4 linked regions of the Schizosaccharomyces pombe genome follow. Changing the gene in region 2 together with the main gene of any one other region gives a genetic interaction. Each region holds a gene or a part of one and is shown on either strand. Other genes may lie near its edges. The genes, in order: hus1, swi3, rad9 and pef1.

Region 1 (5,170 bases), on a different chromosome or scaffold from region 2:
TATCCACCATCACTCAATACGCTCAAGAAGGAAGCAGTTTTCGCCAAAACGCCATCAGGGCTGGAATACCTCGATTTCTTAGAATCCTTAGTAGAGCTCATGGGTAAGGTACTCCGAAAAGCTTTAGATAAGAGGTTATGAAGAGAATCGGCATAAGCATTACGAATTGGTTCAAGCTCCTCGGAGAACTCAAAATCTATGATACCTGAATTTTGAAGCGAATGAGCAACATATAAAAACATTTGCTTCGATTGCTCTGGAGTTTGATCAGAATGCTTACAAAAGCTTTCTAACAACGCAACGAGAAGCAACTTGCAGGAACTTTGAGTATCCGCGGTTTTTTTTTCGAAATTCTGTTTGTAACCGAGACCAATTGTCGGCATAATCCGACTGATATTTTCCTTGGCATAGTTGCAATCCCTTTTCGAACATTTAGTAGAAGTGCCGAGCATTCTTGTGTGAATGAATCAAATCAAAGCAAATAAGAAAAGAGAAAGAAGAATTGAATAAGATGAGTAATTTAAAACATGAAAATTATTCCTTTTTTTTTTCTCTAAATGAAACGAAATGTACAATCCTAATTATCAGTCTATATTGAATATATAACAATAATAGTAACAATGCTATCTATGAAAACAAGAAAGAATTTGCAATTAAGGAACGGTAAAACTATTATAGAAAGAAGGTACGTTTAAGTCAATTTATATGTCTGTATATGTGTTGTTTATGTAGCGGATTTCCCCGGATACCTCTCCATATTTAAGTTATTGTGGGATTTTCACTATCGTTACCTCTATTGCGATACCAACTTTTCTAGGTAACAACGTTCAGCCCCTTTCGTACTGAATGTTGGTACAGTTTACATGTGTAGCCGACTGCATCGGAGGAGGAATAACTATCGAACATAGTCAATTCCGATGACAGACAGCCTGAAATTTTCGCACTTTTAAAGAGGAACTCGCCATTTTCATCACTTCTACGTAAAATGTATAGCGATGCCTCCAAAGTACAAGAAAGAATAGGCGGAAATTAATAGAAGCTACAGTCAATGGCATATATCTTCTCAAAAAAACGATTAAAATATTCAATTTTTATTAAGTATATATTTCCCATTGAGCACTTAAATGTTCAATTGAGACTTTATAGATTTCTGAACAGTTGCTTGTCTAAAAGATTAAAGAAAGATGAACCAAGGTTTATTCATATTCAAGTTAATTGCTTGAAAACATACGTTTGTGTTTAATCGTATGTATCTCTCATTGAAAACGTGAAAACATATGGATTTTATCAACAGATTTTCTGTGACTTGAACATTATATTTCTTTTTGGTGTTATCCTTTTAAGAGATATCAACGGAATAGTAAAACACTGAGTTGCCGAGATTACAACAACTGTATAAAATAAATAAAAAAGAACGGTAAGATCGATAAAGGAAGAGAGAGAAAATAAGTATAAGCATGGTAGATGTTGATTAATCTCTTTTCATTTTAATGTACATTAAAAATGTGGCTAGTCACTCATAACAATTATTCGTTAATTAAATCAAATCATAAACAAATTGAAGTAACCTTAGTCCACATAGGTACTAATGTAGTATGTTAAAACAGCCGTATGTTCATCTTCTGGATCTGTTATATAAACATAAAGTACTAGCGCATGTCCTTCACAGAAACCTGTAATGTAAAAAGGTTAGTTCGTGGTCATAAAAAGGATTCTCTCATAGTACATACACGCTATTACACGCTTTGCAACACTGGATATTTTTAACATGTTGACTAAGTCCTTGCTGTCTAGTCTCATGTGAACAAATTCTTCGGGTGCCCTTGTTTGAGAGGGATGTCGACTGATGTCTTCGACTTGACTAGGATCTAACTCTGGATTCTCTAATCCTTTCCATTTTGTGCTTACTCTAGCTGAAGGTATGTTTACCGATAACTGCAATTCGCCTGACATGTTGGCTGACATTATAATACGGTCTGAAAGACTCTTGTATTTGTCCACGACGTGTCTTAGAAAATTCAGTTGTGGAAGGAATATATGACAGTCTGGTTCAGGAGCAGTTGGTTCCTTAATAACTGACACGTATGATTGTGATAGTACTCGAACAGGTATATTATGAGTCACAATATTCGAACCAAACGCCCTTCCACTCCAAGTGGTAGACAACGAAAGTAATGGCTGGTTATTCTTCTTGGATAGACGAACAGTAGAATCACTAGCGTTGGCCGCTGATCGTAAGGCTTTATAGAAATTATCTATAGGAACTTCTAGATTTATCACGTTGTCTGCATTGCTTTGGACGACATAGTCCTCAAATATTGTTTCCTTTCCGTTTACGTTAGTTAGGGCAATCAAATAGAAAAAGATAGTTAATCATACGACTTCTAAAACTCTGTTTCTTTATTAGTTTCACAATGTGATTTTTTTCACCGTTAAATGCTTAATATCTTCACTTACGACCAAACTTGAGTCATCCTAAAATCTGGCACTATCACAAAATTTACAGTTTCAGGCATCAGACGAAGCCAGCAAAATCTTCCAATTTTATCTAGCGCCTGAACAAGACCTAAATTTGATTAGTAAACGAACTTTCTGCTGATCTTTTCCAACTTACGCGTCAACGTGTACAAGTTGCTAATCCTTGTTTTAAATCTCATTTTCAGTCTTTGATTTAACTAATGAGATTGAGATTTTTTGGCATTTTGTTTATTCAAGCGTTTAGCAGGTTAAAGTCGACCAATAATAAATTTTCGGTCGAAAAAACTACGAACGCGTAAAAGCCAGCTAAGAAATAGCAAACTGGGCATTAGCAACTGCATCGCAATCTTTATTAAGCAAATGCAAATTTTAATGGCAAGTGGAATAAAATTAATGAATAAAATTTAAAAAGATTTACAAAAGTCTTAGAGTCTAAAAAAAATTATACTCAAGAGCCTATTCGTTGTATCATTTATTTCATACGATTAGCTATTCCTAAATTTTAAATTACATTAAAAAAATAAATGGCAAGTAAGAAGGGTTCTAGCTAGAGCAGGAACATTGAATTTGGCTTTTGGAGGGAGTAGTGTTATAGCATAAATAATCCTCTTCTTCCTTGGAAAACCCCCAAGTATCTTCGAACGGACAGGCAGCCATTTTACACACTTTTTTAAAAAGCTCAAATTTCCCGATGTATGCTTCTTTAATCACCTCTTCAAGAACCCAATTTCTAAGAGTAAAATGTGGGTTGACTTTTTTCATGCTCGCTAATCGGGATGAATCTTCCTGAGTTTTCGTTGCTTCACTATATCGACCAACCCAATTAGTGAAAGCTTTGACAGATTCATTTCTAACTCTTTCATTATTCGGGTTTAGACAAATACATGCTTGCATCAATTTTGCAGCATATTCTTCATTCTCCATTGAAGAGGGAGAGTTTCTAGAAAGAAAGGAAAAACAATTTGGCATATCCAATTCATAATCCTCCAAAATTTGTAACAAATCAGTTATCAGAATTTTGTTAGATGAGTCAGAGGGAAGACCCACTCGTTTGAACATAAGATCATAGAAATCATTCTGGACAATATTTTTATACTCTTCTACTATCTTTTCAAAAACTTCAGAAGTATAAGCAAACGCCTTTTTTAACAAATCAGTAGAGTTATGAAGTTGTTCCATATATTGCAAGTCATCAACTTTGTCGCAAGCTCCAATTAACTCAACCAAAGCAGATGCTAATTTTGATAAATTCCAAATAATAATATCAGGTTGGTTGCGATATGAATATCGCAAAAATACATCGTCATGATTAGGTGTAAAAGATGGGTTGTAAACATCTAAAAATCCAAAAGGTCCATAATCAATTGATAGTCCCAGTATACTGGTATTATCAGTATTCAAAACACCATTCATAAATCCATATGCTTGCCATTTGGCTACAGTTTTAGCATTTCGATATGCAACATCTCGAAGAAGTTTTTCGTAGCGATTTCCAGTATCTCCACCATGAAATCCATCTTTTAAAACGAAATTTAGACAATAGTCGGCTAATTTCCGTAAAGACTCAATTTGATTATTAATCCCCTGGAGATCGAAAGTCCCAATTCTGATCCAAGAAGGGGCCATACGGCAAACAACGGCGCAAGGCTCTACAGTCTCACGTTGTGCTACAACACCTTCAAGATTGGAAATTGCCAGAGCCTGTGTTGTTGGAATGCCTAGAGCATATAAAGCTTCACAACATAAATATTCTCGAATGCTAGATCTTAAAACAGCCTTTCCATCTGCAAATCGAGAGTATGGTGTTCTTCCTGCGCCTTTGACTTGAATCTCAAAGCGTTTTCCAGTTTCCGGGTTGGTAAGTTCGCATAAGGATACTACGCGGCCATCACCCAACTGACCTGCCCAATCCCCAAATTGGTATCCTCCATAACATTGCGCCCAAGGACAACACTTATTGACATCAACGTTAGAACCGACAACAAGCTGTTGAAAAGCTTCAGTTTGAGTTTCAGATTCTTCGAGTCCTAATGACTTCACGGACGAAGGGCTATAAGCTAATAATTGAGAATTGGCTTTTAGTGATGGAGTCAAATAAGTAAATAAGCCGCCGCCTTCCACAAATCGAGGAACATGTAAGATTCTGTCATCAGCCTTTTTCATTGCCTGTACGGTCGGTACCAGTGGATCAGGCGGAAGATTTGATGTGAACGTTGAGCTGACAGGGAGATCCTTCAATTTTTTTGACATCGTATTGGTATATCGAATTAATGTTCTTTGCATACCAATGTTTGATTGTGCCCCAGTGTAAATTTGCTTACTTTATTGATTATAATAACAATAAAAGCAGCAATTCACTTACATTTGATCAATAACAGATCAAGTAGACTAGTACGTTGAAAATAGCTGGTAAAATACATGCTATGTGATCAATGAGCAAACTAATGAAAACATCATTTTAAAATGATAGCGAATGAACAGCAATTGTTATATTAATATGGAATGGCATTACTTTGTAGATCGTTGGATTTCGTAATTTGTTAATTAGCATTTTTAGGAATGCAGAATCATTATATATAGAGGAATATTTGTAACAATTTCAATGACTAAATAGTGGTAGATGAAATCTACAGAATTAAAAAGTCGGAACTGAGAAAATAAAACTAAGCTTACTTACTATACCATACTTGAA
Region 2 (4,288 bases):
AAGGCCAAGGTTATTGCTGTTAGTAGGTCCTTGACCCCAGAACTAGAAACTTTGCTTATTCAAAATCCTGACTCATTTGTTCACGTGAAGGGTGACGTTACGGAGGTTGGAAAAGCTAGTATCGAAACTGCTATTAAAAAGTTTGGAAAATTGGACTCGGTTATTCTAAATGCAGGTGTCCTTGAACCTATAGCCAAAATCGCTGATGCAGATATCAATGAATGGCGTAAGTTGTTTGATATCAACTTTTTCAGTGTGGTTGAAACAGTGAAGTATGCAATCCCGCATTTGCGTAAAACCAAGGGTACTATTGTGATTGTATCCTCTGGCGCTGCTGTTCGTGTTTTTCCCGCGTGGGCTGCATATTGTTGCTCAAAGGCCGCCATCAACATGCTAGTCATGAACCTTGGCAGCGAGGAGCCTGATATAATGAGTGTGGCAGTACGTCCGGGAGTTGTTGATACCCCTATGCAAGTTAGTATCCGTAATGATTCCAATAAAGAAGCCATGGGTGGAGATACTCATAATTTTTTCAAAGAACTTAAAACATCCGGTCAACTTGTGGCTCCTCAGGACATCGCCAAAGCTCTTTCTTTTCTAGCCTTGAATAACAATCCAAAGCTTACTGGTCAATTCGTAGAATGGAAATCATTTGTCTAGATGTTCTATAGTTTATTGAATTTCGGAGTTAGAGGCTACAATTGTTCGTTTAAATAAAACAAAATGAATAAATTAAACATTACATCAAATAAAAGTAGCTGAAAATAGTCCCAAAAAATGATCATGATTACTAATATTGATAAACAAAGCTGCAACAACATCTCAATCATTCATTAATGGTGACTATTCTAATTGGGTATCGTTGTCTTGGGCGACAAAAGCATCATCAGCTGTATCTTGAACATATGGATCTCCGCTCGTCAAATTCACTAATGAATTGGAAGATGGACCAGTAAATAATGAAGCATTAGAGTCCGAACCATTTTCAACAGCAATTTCATTAATCCAACCACGACGTCGAACCTTGACGGATCTGTGTTTTCCTAGAGTTTTAAGATACGATATTGAGTCATCAAACGTGGCTCTTGGATATAACTCATGAGTCCATATATGATACATTCCCAATAGTTGTTTTAAGTCTTTTGCCTCATGACCCTTTCCTTTTAACTTAACTTTGCGCATCATTTTCCTTAATTTTGGAATTCCATTTTCAGAAATCAATCTAAATAGGGAAAACGAGTGGTCAATAATTATTTTCCGAAAACCGACCAAATTCTTACCTTTCTTCATCAAATTTTGCCAACCGTTTGCGAGGTTTTTTTACAGAATCTGGATTTTCTTCTAACCCTAAATCAAATTCTTTTTCTTCTTCATTCTTTTTCACCTCTTCCCTTTTGTTTTCCTCGACGAGTTTTTCAACACCTGAATCAGAAGCAGCTGTAGACATTTCTTATGGTGTTTTTTTAAAATATATATTTGCTTGTATGTTTCGCAAAAGAGAGTTAGTGAATGCAATAAATATCGATTTGCTTGCTGTTTCGCTTCAAAAGTTCTGTTAATCTAGCAATTTTTCTATGTACTATTGACTTTACTGCTAATGAAAAGCGAATAGAACCTTTCAAATTTAACTGCGCAGCAAGAAAGGTTTATAATTTACTAATGAAAGAAAATTCCTTATTTAACGCGGATTAGAAATGTGTAGAGGAAGAATAGTTCAGAAGGCTCATGTTACACCTGGACTATATACTTTTATAAAATTTTGTTAAGAATGCTCATAAATTATAGCTAATTTTTGGAATTGTGATAGACGTATTTGAGTGATAGTGCTCGCTGCTAATACTAGTATAACAATTCTCAACGTAATCATTTTTGAATCGTTTCGGAAAGCATAATAAAGCAACTTTTACCCTTTCTCTTTCAATTAACATACTTTCCTTCAAATTTCTTGCATTCGTGTAGATTTCTTTTTTTGAATAAGTGTTTGTCATTAAAGGTTTAGGCAATGGCTTCTAGATATCGTGTTGAGTATGCGTTAAAGCAACATCGGAAGGACGATTTTATTGAATGGATTAAAGGTTTGTTGTCAGTTCCTTTTGTTTTACAGGCAGGAACCCCTTCACAGAAACTAGTAACGCGCGAAAAAGAGCAGGAAACGCTTGAGCGTTACGCTGTAATTTTAAGAGATGTGGAAAAACTTATTGAGGCTCATAGTAAGTTTCCCCTTCATTCTTTTAATTTTCTAACCTTTCTCATTGATAGTTCAAATAGTTTCAGAAGGTGGATCCTATAGCCAGTTAAAGATGCTTGTTCCATCGATCACCATATTTTGGACACCTTTGCCATTAGTGAAAGCTATGTACGCGTTGGAACCAAAGCTTTGTCTAGCTAAACGAAGCTTTGTGGCACCGAGTTTTAACGATGTCAGGGCAATATTAGGAGGTGCTCAATTGAATTACCTTGCGGATAATGGCTTGGATATGGTCAGTTTTGATGGAGATGTAACTCTGTACGAAGATGGGCAGCCTTTGCTTCCTGACAATCCTGTTATATCCCGTTTGATTCAGTTACTTTCGAGGGGGATCTATGTCATCATTCTTACTGCTGCTGGCTATCCCAGTCGTACTGGCCAGGAGTATACTGATAGATTTTCAGGATTATTGCAGGCAATCGAAGACAGCGACTTGAAGGATGGGCAGAAACGGAAACTTCATGTATTAGGAGGCGAGAGCAATTACTTATTTGCTTATGACCCACTGCATGGTTTACAATGGGTGGATGCTGACTCATGGATGCTTCCCGTGATGAAAACATGGCCTCATGATGAGATTCTCGAAATTTTGGATACTGCTGAAGAAACTCTTCGTTCTTGCATTCAAGGACTTAACATTGATGCAAAAATAGTTCGTAAAGAAAGATCAGTTGGATTTGTACCTTCCCTTGGTCAAAAACTGAGAAGGGAGCAACTGGAGGAAGCTGTTTTGGAGACACAAGCAACGTTGCAGATACGAAATTTCTCAGTTCCTTTTACTGCTTTCAATGGTGGAAATGATATTTGGTGTGATATTGGTGACAAGAAATTGGGTGTTTTATGCCTTCAGCATTTTTTTAATATTTCCCATCCTTCTCGCTGTCTGCATGTTGGTGATCAATTCTTGTCAGCTGGTAACAATGATTATAAAGCGGTAAGTTTGAAATAAACTTTTGTTGAAGATTACTAACCACCTATTCAAAGAGAGCTGCTGCTACCACTGTTTGGGTATCCAGCCCCCACGAGACGATTGAGTTTTTAGATTATTATTTCTCTTTTTTAAAAAAGTAATTTAATTAGAGGAGAGATCTTATACTGCAAACACATTCGTAAATATTCTTCTTATACTTCAGCAATGCTATACTATACTTATAAAATGAATACCCATATAAGCGTTTTGACATCAAAAGATATATGATCGTTCAATACATTGTTAATCTTTGATTTTTGATATCAATTTCTTTGCTAATTTTAATAGCGCATTATGCAATGTAAGATTTGGAATAGCATTAAATCTGAATACATGAATTTCACATCATAAAAACTCTAAATAAATGAAGACAAAAATAGTGATAACTCAAAGAAAGATACAGTATGTACTTGATTAGTTTTCAGAGTAACTTTAAGACATGAACGATAATTTGCCATAGAAGCAAATTCTAAACAAATTCCGGATTTTTAATATCCATAAATACATCTAGCTCAATTTTCTTTTGTTTCGGTCTCTGATGCGGTAGGAACAGGAATGGCGGTTGTCGTATGATTATCGTGAGCAATATTTTGATTTTTAAAACGCTCACGGGCTCGGCTTAATAGCTCTTCTTGTTGTCTCAATAACTCATCTCTTGATACACCGGATTGTTCAAATTTGCTACTTTTCTTCTCACGATTCTTTTGTTGTTCTTTATGCTCTGCCGCCACTTCCAAAGCTTCAGCAATATATTCCTTGAATTCCAAATTCTCTAAAGCTTTAATAATGTGTTCAGCGGCTATAGTTTTTTTTGCCTCCTTTTCGCATATTTCATTAGCTTCACTAGAAACAAGATGTATGAACTCCACACAGCACTCTATCAGTAAATCTCTAGCTTCCTTCGTAAAAGTCAAGTCCACTGGAAGTATGTCGGAAACCATTTTCTGAACGGTGGCTACACATTATTAGTAAATATGGATTGCAATTCTTTTACCTTTGGGAAGGGACAATTCATCGTCCGCGAAACCATCATTCATTATGCAAAATTTTTATTCCTAATTTCGTTCGTT
Region 3 (4,841 bases), on a different chromosome or scaffold from region 2:
TTGAAAATCGCTTCAAAATTTTTTTGCGCTTATTAGCGGATTGTAACGAAGAACATTATGTGTCTTAAAGCAGTCACATTTCATAGCTATAATTTTTCGTCTGTCTATAGTCCCAACGTGCCCTCTACTCGTTACTAACAGACGATAAAATGGCGGAGGATGCACCGGTTGTACAACAGACTATGCTTGAACCTGAGGTGCTTTTAAAAAAGCGCAAGGTCAATGAGCGTACTCGGAAAGAACGTGTTGAGCAGGCTATTGCCAAAAAAGAGGTATGTGAATTGCTTGTTCTACAGGTTTGAAATATCCATAATATACATATTTATATGAAAAAGATGAACCTTTCACTCTTGGATTGCTAGTTTCGACGATGCTGCTCCAAAATACCATCTTTCGGCTGATTCATATATTTTGTATTGGTTAAATTTAAACCTTTGACTTCATCAATTTTTATATATTGTTAAAAACATTTTACTAATTTTACTCCAGGCCCAGAAGAAAAATCGTAAAGAAACCTTCAAAAGGGCTGAGACTTTTATTAATAACTACCGCCAACGAGAAAGAGAACGGATTAGGTTAAATCGATCTGCGAAAAATAAAGGAGACATTTTCGTGCCTGATGAAACAAAACTTCTTTTCGTTATTCGAATTGCCGGAGTCAAGAATATGCCTCCTAAAATTCGCAAAGTTCTGCGCTTATTACGCCTTTCTCGAATTAACAATGCCGTTTTTGTGCGAAATAATAAAGCCGTTGCTCAAATGCTTCGAATCGTCGAACCTTATGTTATGTATGGTATTCCCAATTTACATTCTGTTCGTGAACTCATTTATAAACGTGGCTTTGGTAAGATCAATGGTCAGCGTATTGCTCTCTCTGATAATGCATTAATTGAGGAGGCCTTGGGCAAATATGATGTTATTTCCATTGAAGATATCATTCATGAAATTTACAATGTAGGCTCTCATTTTAAGGAAGTTACTAAATTCTTATGGCCATTCACTTTGACTCCAGTTAAACACAGTTTGATGGAGAAAAAGGTCAAACATTTTAATGAGGGTCGAAAGGCTGGCTATTGTGGAGAAGAAATTAACGAATTGATTAAGAAACAAGTTTAAAACTTTCTTTGAGTTCGTGTAATGACTTAAATTTTGCATTCAGATGAAAATGCAAAAATGTATATTAGACTTTTTATAGGCCGTGGATTGGAATTTAATTAATTGGGTTACATTATTCACTATCTTATTGATTTATTAGAACTACTATGTAACGTATCGTATGATGAGGGTAATTTTGTAGTTAAAAAAAACTAAATTATTGATAAATATTGTACATTATATAATATGAGTGCTGTGTTTTATGAGGTTGTCACAAGCACCTGTAAATGTTCATAATTTTACACACCATAGCAAAGAAGGATTTTCCTAGTCTTCCTGAGAGAAAATGCCATGATAACTTTGTTCAGCTTGCGTTGGTCCAAATTCGGCATCATCGTTCACATCATTATTAAAAGCAGCAAGCTCGGATTCATTAGGAATACCATCTAAGAACAATGATTGACCAGCATCGTTTGTGGTTGATGGCTCCTTAATGCCATTAGTTTCGTCGCTTCGGTCAAGCGCAGAATTAAACATTCTGGATGAGTCACTTTGCTATAAAGTTAATGTTAATAAATTATTGTACTTAGTACTAAAGCCGAATTACATACATCAGTTTGCCATCCAATAGATCCAGGGGGATTATGTGCTACAGCAGTCAATGAGTTGTTGCGCTCTACTGAATTGAACAGAGAAGCTGGTGTTGAACTGTGCTGCCATCTATTTCCCATCATAGATGACACCTCTTGTTCATCTGATCCAACTACAGTTGCAAGAATGAACTGCGCTTCAATTTCGGAATTTTTCCCTTTTGCAAAAGTTAAAAGTATCGGTTTTCCTGGGACACCGTAATATGCACAAATCGAGCTTCCCAATGCCTCTGCTAAAATGACGGCAGCACGAAATTCACGTAGAGAAAGGGTAACAGAGACTCCCTCATTAAGTGCGACGCGTTCAAATTCTTTACCATCAATGGAAACAGTTGTTTGGGTAGGTTGCTTCAAAATATCTCTATTATGTACGACCTCTTCTGTGAAACTTGTAAGTAAAACACGTTCTTGAAGTGGTTGAATTGTAAGCTCTTCCGTTCTCTGACCAAAATGTTCAGTCAAATCTTTTAGAATTTTTGAGTTTATTTGAAAATTATTGTGACTAAGAGATTTATCAAAAACAGCGTGTAAAGTTTGGGTTTGTTCATATGATATTTTATATGTTTTAATCACTCCTTGATGAATAAACGTTAGTAGAGCAAATAAAATAATAAGACGGACAAACTACGTACCGTGCTTGCATAAGAATTTAAATATAATCCTACACTCGCTACCAGTAGAGATTGAGATTTGAACATTCTCGACAATCACATCTTTTCTGCTTGCAGATTCACTGCCATAACCGTTCTTGCTATTGGTAGTGACGACAGTCGGGATGAAATCAAAGATTTTGTTTCTAAACACAGATAGTATGGGCTTGACTTGCGTACGAATACGTATTGTAGGAGTCATCAATCCCGTCAACAGGACGGAATCCGGCTGAAAAATGTACTTGTCAAAAAATGCCTTTTTTAAAGTCACCATGCTAAATCCTGACCTAGAAGAATTTAAACATGTAATCTCTATCTTTACCAATTAGTTTCAATGTTTAGTAAGGTTTGAAAAAAGTTCCAACACACCTGATTTTTGTTAATTTCCCAGTTGACAGCATCATCGATTCTAGAAAGATTTGTAAAGATCCTTGCGAGGTCCCGAAGATTAACATTTGAAACAGTGAATTCCATTTTATATACCAGTACGTGAATTGATGTAGACGAATGCTGAACGAATAACGATAGTTTCTAGTCGATATGACGATTAATTTCTTAATTCATGCTAATAGAAGTAAATAAATCTCGACAATTTTTGACAAACAGAATTGAAACTGGTATATACAGAGGTAAATCTATAATGTGGTGTTTTCTAGCACCTGCTTTAACGCACTTATATTAGTATAGACACGCGCGCCGAAATTTGTACGAAAGTGTAATGGCCAACATCAATCGCAAAATAATCTGTATATACACAATGAATTGTAATAAGAAGAAACTTATAGCTGCTTTTAATTTGCAGCAGAAAGAGTTCAACTGTACATCATATAAACGTACATACTTTTATGCTTAAAATACTAAAGTGCACAAAAACTAAAACCTTCAGCCCAAGATAACCCTTTATTACTTGTAATTGCCCGACATTGTGACCATCTATGTAACCATATATATGTTAAATTTTTTTATTAACCTAAATAATTGTAAACGAAATATATTATAATAGAACCAAAATCCGCGAATGCCCTTTTTAAAACCGAAAAAAGATATACTGTAAGTAAAAATAATCATGCACCCTAAATGTTTAGCACAGCTTGCGTATATTAAAAAAAAGACAAATAGTGAAGCTTATCCAACACGCACAAGCTTATTTTCAACCGAAGAGAGAAAATCCGTCGTTGGAAGAGATCAGTTCATCATCCTTCTCCACGAAGTTTGAAGTATTTGTATCATTAGCTGTCTCTGATAAATCTAATTGTTGACCCAACAGACTACTAAACAAATCTTCAGTTTGTTCATCCGGCCATACAGTCACTTCAATGGGAGCCATAAAATTTTGTAATTTATCATGAACGTGATACCTTATTTTTCGACCTTTGGATGCCTTAGTATCAACGTTTTCTTTCTTCTGTTTTTGCTTTTTTGTAGCCATCCAACGAACAGTGCCATCTCGAGTAGAGTCTGCCATTCTAGAATTAATGAAATCCTTCAATAATGATTGATAAAAATCCGTGTCGTTGTAAATTTCGGGATTGAAAGTTTTGTTGTTAGGGTCACTGTAATCAATTCTAGTGCGCTCGACCAAATCTTTCTTGTTAATCATAGAATTTTCGATTTGTTGAACAATACTTTGATTTAGAGCCTTGAATTTGTTAGATTGCGAAATCCCTTGCACTGCTTGAACCCGATTATGCCATTTGGTTAAAGTATCATTTTTCCACTCATTCAAAGAGTCGTCAAGGTTATTCATTTCTAAAGCAATTTCTTCTAGACTAACAGGATTCTCTTTTCTTTTTGATCTACTGTCAAGAATTTCCACTCCAGAGTCAATAAGTAAGTTTTTCCTCAGCTGTAAAGTGTGTTGAATAAAAGATACTAAACCATCTCGGGCTTCTACTTTATCACCTTGAAGTTGGTTGCTGGAAGAAAGAAGTTGACTACATCCTTTTTGAAGACGGATTCTAGTATCTAAAACATTATCGTAAAAACGCATCTGCTCCTTCAAAGCTAAACCCTTTTTCATGTCTTCAAGGGCGGATGTACGAATTTGATCAGATAGCTTTTTCTCTCCATTTATAATCTTTTTTAAACGATCCATGTCTTTTTCAGGAATGGCAGAAGATTGGTCGTCATCTTCATTTTCCTCAGAAATTGATGAAGCTTCTGAGCTTGAAAAATTTTCGTGATCTTCTGAAACTGCATCATTTTCGTCTTCCTCCGAATCTTCTTCTTCAGATGGTGATGAAGATTGAGAGTTTAAAGAACCGCTATTAAGTAATTCCTGGCGAGACGTTTTTCTTCCTTTAAATTTTGGGTCTAACTGAGGAGCCTGTTTTGAGCGTAATTTACTTTCACTATAAAATATGAAACATTAGTATAAGCTCAAATACGCAAAAGTAAAAATTTTGAACATACCTAACATCAACATAATGTTCTCTCCCTAAGGTAT
Region 4 (4,068 bases), on a different chromosome or scaffold from region 2:
ACAATCTTAATGATTAGGAAATGGTTAAACGTTTGAACTCGATTGAAAGATATTGAAAAGCTACCAGCGCCCATCTGTATATTCTTCATTTAATTCCTTTCTCAATATCATTTGGTTCATTTATTTAAACAAAAATGCAGAGAAGGTCGAGCTTCTTTATCTAATCCCAGCGATGCAGACGTATTGCTTGCTTCATGGTTATATTCTATACCTCCGCTACCTTGCCGTGATAATGCCGTAATCGTACATTACTATACTCGAAAACTGATTTAAGATTTGTTCTGTTCTAAATTTCCGACTACCGAATGAATTACGACACTCCACCTTGTTTCGTTAATACTACTCCATTACTAACAATTGCGCAAATACTGAAAGCAAACCAGAACCAAGTAGAAAAAATGTCGGTTTACTCATTTTCAGACGTTAGTTTAGTTGCAAAGGCACTTGGTGCATTCGTTAAAGAGAAAAGTGAAGCTTCTATTAAAAGGCATGGCGTGTTCACTTTAGCTCTTAGTGGAGGAAGTTTACCAAAGGTTTTGGCTGAAGGATTGGCTCAACAGAGAGGTATCGAGTTTTCCAAATGGTAAGTTAACAGATATTATATACTTTTGAGTTGTATGGATTCACTGTGGTTTTGTTTAGCTTTGGTTGACGTGAAACACTCTGTCTTAAGGCAATTTATGATTAACAGCTCTATTTAGGGAAGTTTTCTTTGCTGATGAAAGAATTGTTCCTTTAGATGATGAAAACTCAAATTATGCGCTCTGTAAAAAGTTGATTTTTGACAAGTTTGAAGGATTTGACCCTAAAAAAATTCATACCATCAATCCTGAGCTTTTGAAAGAAAATCCTATTGACCCTCAGAATGTTGCTGATGAATATGAAAAACAATTAGTGCATGTGTTTGCAAATAGCTCCACTGTTAAGGTCCCTGTGTTTGATTTACTGCTGTTAGGATGCGGTCCTGATGGCCATACATGTTCTCTATTCCCCGATCACGAGGTACTCCAGGAAGACGTTGCTTGGGTGGCCCCAGTCACTGATTCGCCCAAACCCCCTAAAGACCGCATCACTTTGACTTTACCGGTTGTCACACATGCTCAAGCCATTGCCTTTGTTACCACAGGTGCTGGTAAGAAGGATATTTTGCCTATTGTCATTGAGGATTTTACATCTAAACTTCCAAGTGCGCTGATCACTCGAAACAATTTGACTCGTACAAGCTGGTTTGTGGATGATGAAGCATCAGCCAATCTTGAGAGATCCTCTTTGAAGGTTTTCCCTCAATAGGCAGTTCAATTTAAGCAGGTGGCCTTTAGAATGCTTAATTGCTACATGCTTCGGATTCATTACTTGTTTCTTTAAGGTCTTTCAAGGGAAAGGTTGCAGTTCTCTTTTGTTGTTCGTGAGATTCTTTGCATAAACGCTTTAGATAATGACTTTCAAAATGCTTTCAGTCACTTCCGTGGAATGCTTGATGACCAGTTTTAACACATGTTAGTAGATTAGGAGAGAACTTGTTCCTCAAATCCTCTTTGCATTTGTTGTCTGTTTTTTATTTTAGACTAGCGTATAAAGGTTAGTCTTGTAAACAATGTGTAAGAAGCTAATGCTTTATTAAATTGTTTTATTGCTTCGTTTAGAATCATGTTTAGTTGATTGATATCACTGGCCAAACCCACACTGCAGAAATATGATGTTTTAATGAAGAAATGAATCATTGAAATATATAAACTTAAGCTATCTTGTATCATTTTTTGTTGGTGATAATGTTCTAAAATGTGTTTCATCAACAAGATAAAGTAAACCAATTGTTTTTGAATTGCAGTGATATAGTTTAGCTTCAATTCTTTTATTAAATCATTAATTCATTTTTAAAATTATGCAAAATTACGGCATTTTCTCATACTGCTTATGATAGATTTTAAGCAAAGATGGAAATTTATATCCAAAAACATGCAATTGCTTAAACTCTCCTTTATGTAAGGGTTTATTAATACTTATGTGTTTTCTACAGATGGCAACCTTCTGATTAATTATCATTAGGTTAATTTGTGATAGAAGCTGTAGTGATCTTAATTACAATAGTTTACATTATAGCAAGATGTTCGACATGACTCAATAGACTAAAAATTTTTTTTCTTAGCATATTCTTCAAAACTGTAGGTCTTAAAAACAGTTTTGTTAGCTTAACATCACCTTAAGTCGTTAGTCATCGTAGAGGAGGCACTTGATATTTCCATCGCACAACATGAACTACCAAAGGCTTGAAAAGTTAGGTAAGTATGAGTTTGAGGTCCCAAAATTTGCAATTTCATTAACTTAAGTAGGAGAGGGAACATATGCGCATGTTTATAAGGGGCAAAATCGAGTGACTGGTGAAATTGTCGCTCTCAAAGTTATTCGTATTGATGCAGATGAAGGAACACCTAGTACTGCTATCCGTGAGATTAGTCTTATGAAGGAGCTTAGGCATCCCAATATTATGTCTCTCTCAGACGTTTTGCAAACCGAAAATAAGCTTATGCTCGTTTTTGAATATATGGAAAAAGATTTGAAAAAGTACATGGACACTTATGGGAACCAAGGAGCTCTTCCACCTTCTCAAGTAAAAAATTTTACTCAACAATTACTCAAAGGGATATCTTTTTGTCACGAAAACCGAGTTCTACATCGTGATCTGAAACCTCAAAATTTGCTTATCAACAGTCGTGGTGAATTGAAATTGGCGGATTTTGGGTTAGCCCGTTCAATTGGAATTCCAGTGAATACTTTTTCAAACGAAGTGGTCACCTTATGGTATCGTGCTCCTGACGTTCTTTTGGGTTCTCGAGTATATTCAACTTCCATTGATATTTGGTCAGTTGGTTGTATCATGGCAGAAATGGCTACAGGACGTCCTCTATTTGCTGGGTCAAATAATGAGGATCAGCTACTAAAAATCTTCCGATTATTGGGAACTCCTACTGAACAATCATGGCCCGGAATTTCTTTACTTCCTGAATATAAGCCTACTTTCCCTATTTATAAAGCACAAGATCTCGCCTACCTATTTCCAACATTTGATCCTCTTGGTTTGGATTTGTTACGACGGATGCTTCGTCTACAACCTGAATTAAGGACGACCGGCCAGGATGCGCTTCAACATGCTTGGTTTTTAACCGCATAGGCTGTAAATTAACATCAAAAAGTTTAACCAAATTACGATTTTATTTATTCATTTCAGTTTCCTATTGAAATCATTAATTTTTTTTTTGGAAAGAATGCATTTCACCTAGGGAAAGAGCACAATATTTTTGGACGTTCAAATTTCTTCGCAACTGTTTTAGCCCAAGTAGCTATCCCTATTGATCTTTTTTAAACGAGGTTTAGAGGTAAATATTTGGTTATTATTTTGAGAGGATTTGAAGCTGTCGAATATATTTTTAGCCAAGAATTAAACGGCGTTTTATTTTCTACGATTAAAATATCGTCGCTGATGACATTCAAGTCGTAAATGAAATACTTAAAGAATTGAATGATCCGCATTGCGTCTGACATTTTTATGAAGGAGCAAAAGGATAATATTCAAAAAGCAATGCGGGTTTTTAGTATACTGATAATAATTTGCGGATTTCAAGCAATTATCCGCAATGCACATGAAAAACAATCTTTTTTCACTTATTTTTATTAGTGGATTAATGGCTTCCTTCCCTATTATTTAACTGCATGAAGGGATTCTCTATTAATGTTCTCTTTAACCATTCGACATTTTATGTGGTTTCTGTCGTTCATTATTCTTTTTATTTACTTTCATCTATACTCCATCTTTTCAGTTTTGAGGCATCAATGGTAGGAGGTGACTAAATTTCTTTGAGTTTCGTTTAGGAAGAAGGTTCAATTTGTAAACATGAAATAATAATTGTGTCTTTTACAATTTCTTTTGAGTTTTTCTACTCGCTTGGCCCAGCAATCTATTGTTTAAGGAGATATACGGATTTGGCTTATCGTATTTTTACGACATCTTCTACCTCGCCAAATCTTTTAGTTTTACCCATACTGCTAGAATTTACATTACATGAAAAAATG

Evidence for each region.
Region 1: mutations in swi3 (region 2) and hus1 impair growth when combined (synthetic growth defect), as found in Schizosaccharomyces pombe (2 studies listed by BioGRID, with this or other methods).
Region 3: mutations in swi3 (region 2) and rad9 impair growth when combined (synthetic growth defect), as found in Schizosaccharomyces pombe (2 studies listed by BioGRID, with this or other methods).
Region 4: mutations in swi3 (region 2) and pef1 impair growth when combined (synthetic growth defect), as found in Schizosaccharomyces pombe (2 studies listed by BioGRID, with this or other methods).

The regions. Positions count from the first base shown.
Region 1 is NC_003424.3:4,819,922-4,825,091, forward strand, and holds hus1 (checkpoint clamp complex protein Hus1), read right to left. Parts: upstream 2,783-5,170; 5' UTR 2,658-2,782; coding exon 2,615-2,657; exon of another isoform or gene 2,567-2,614; coding exon 2,458-2,566; exon of another isoform or gene 2,393-2,457; coding exon 2,380-2,392; exon of another isoform or gene 2,326-2,379; coding exon 1,731-2,325; exon of another isoform or gene 1,674-1,730; coding exon 1,570-1,673; 3' UTR 1,066-1,569; downstream 1-1,065. Other genes in the region: eIF2 alpha kinase Hri1, read right to left, coding at 1-452; fmp40 (adenylyltransferase), read right to left, coding at 3,022-4,728. UniProt on the Schizosaccharomyces pombe protein: Essential in controlling the S-M checkpoint that couples mitosis to the completion of DNA replication. It is also required for the response to DNA damage.
Region 2 is NC_003423.3:3,090,081-3,094,368, forward strand, and holds swi3 (replication fork protection complex subunit Swi3), read right to left. Parts: upstream 1,777-4,288; 5' UTR 1,448-1,776; coding exon 1,281-1,447; exon of another isoform or gene 1,223-1,280; coding exon 844-1,222; 3' UTR 779-843; downstream 1-778. Other genes in the region: SPOM_SPBC30D10.05C (sepiapterin reductase), read left to right, coding at 1-660; isn1 (IMP 5'-nucleotidase), read left to right, coding at 2,003-2,210, 2,260-3,182, 3,233-3,319; ncb2 (transcription corepressor), read right to left, coding at 3,731-4,173, 4,213-4,255. UniProt on the Schizosaccharomyces pombe protein: Forms a fork protection complex (FPC) with swi1. FPC coordinates leading and lagging strand synthesis and moves with the replication fork. It is required for programmed fork-pausing which is necessary for mating-type switching.
Region 3 is NC_003424.3:1,712,668-1,717,508, forward strand, and holds rad9 (checkpoint clamp complex protein Rad9), read right to left. Parts: upstream 3,050-4,841; 5' UTR 2,870-3,049; coding exon 2,765-2,869; exon of another isoform or gene 2,712-2,764; coding exon 2,378-2,711; exon of another isoform or gene 2,321-2,377; coding exon 1,707-2,320; exon of another isoform or gene 1,651-1,706; coding exon 1,423-1,650; 3' UTR 1,253-1,422; downstream 1-1,252. Other genes in the region: ribosome biogenesis protein rlp7, read left to right, coding at 150-272, 490-1,116; bfr2 (traub family ribosome biogenesis protein), read right to left, coding at 3,546-4,746, 4,808-4,841. UniProt on the Schizosaccharomyces pombe protein: Acts in DNA repair and mutagenesis. Involved in promoting resistance to ionizing radiation and UV light, as well as regulating cell cycle progression after irradiation. Repressor of entry into mitosis that is activated by chromosome breaks.
Region 4 is NC_003421.2:685,503-689,570, forward strand, and holds pef1 (cyclin-dependent protein kinase Pho85/PhoA-like Pef1), read left to right. Parts: upstream 1-2,232; 5' UTR 2,233-2,251; coding exon 2,252-2,279; exon of another isoform or gene 2,280-2,330; coding exon 2,331-3,169; downstream 3,170-4,068. Other genes in the region: pgl1 (6-phosphogluconolactonase), read left to right, coding at 399-583, 702-1,290; NatB N-acetyltransferase complex catalytic subunit Naa20, read left to right, coding at 4,066-4,068.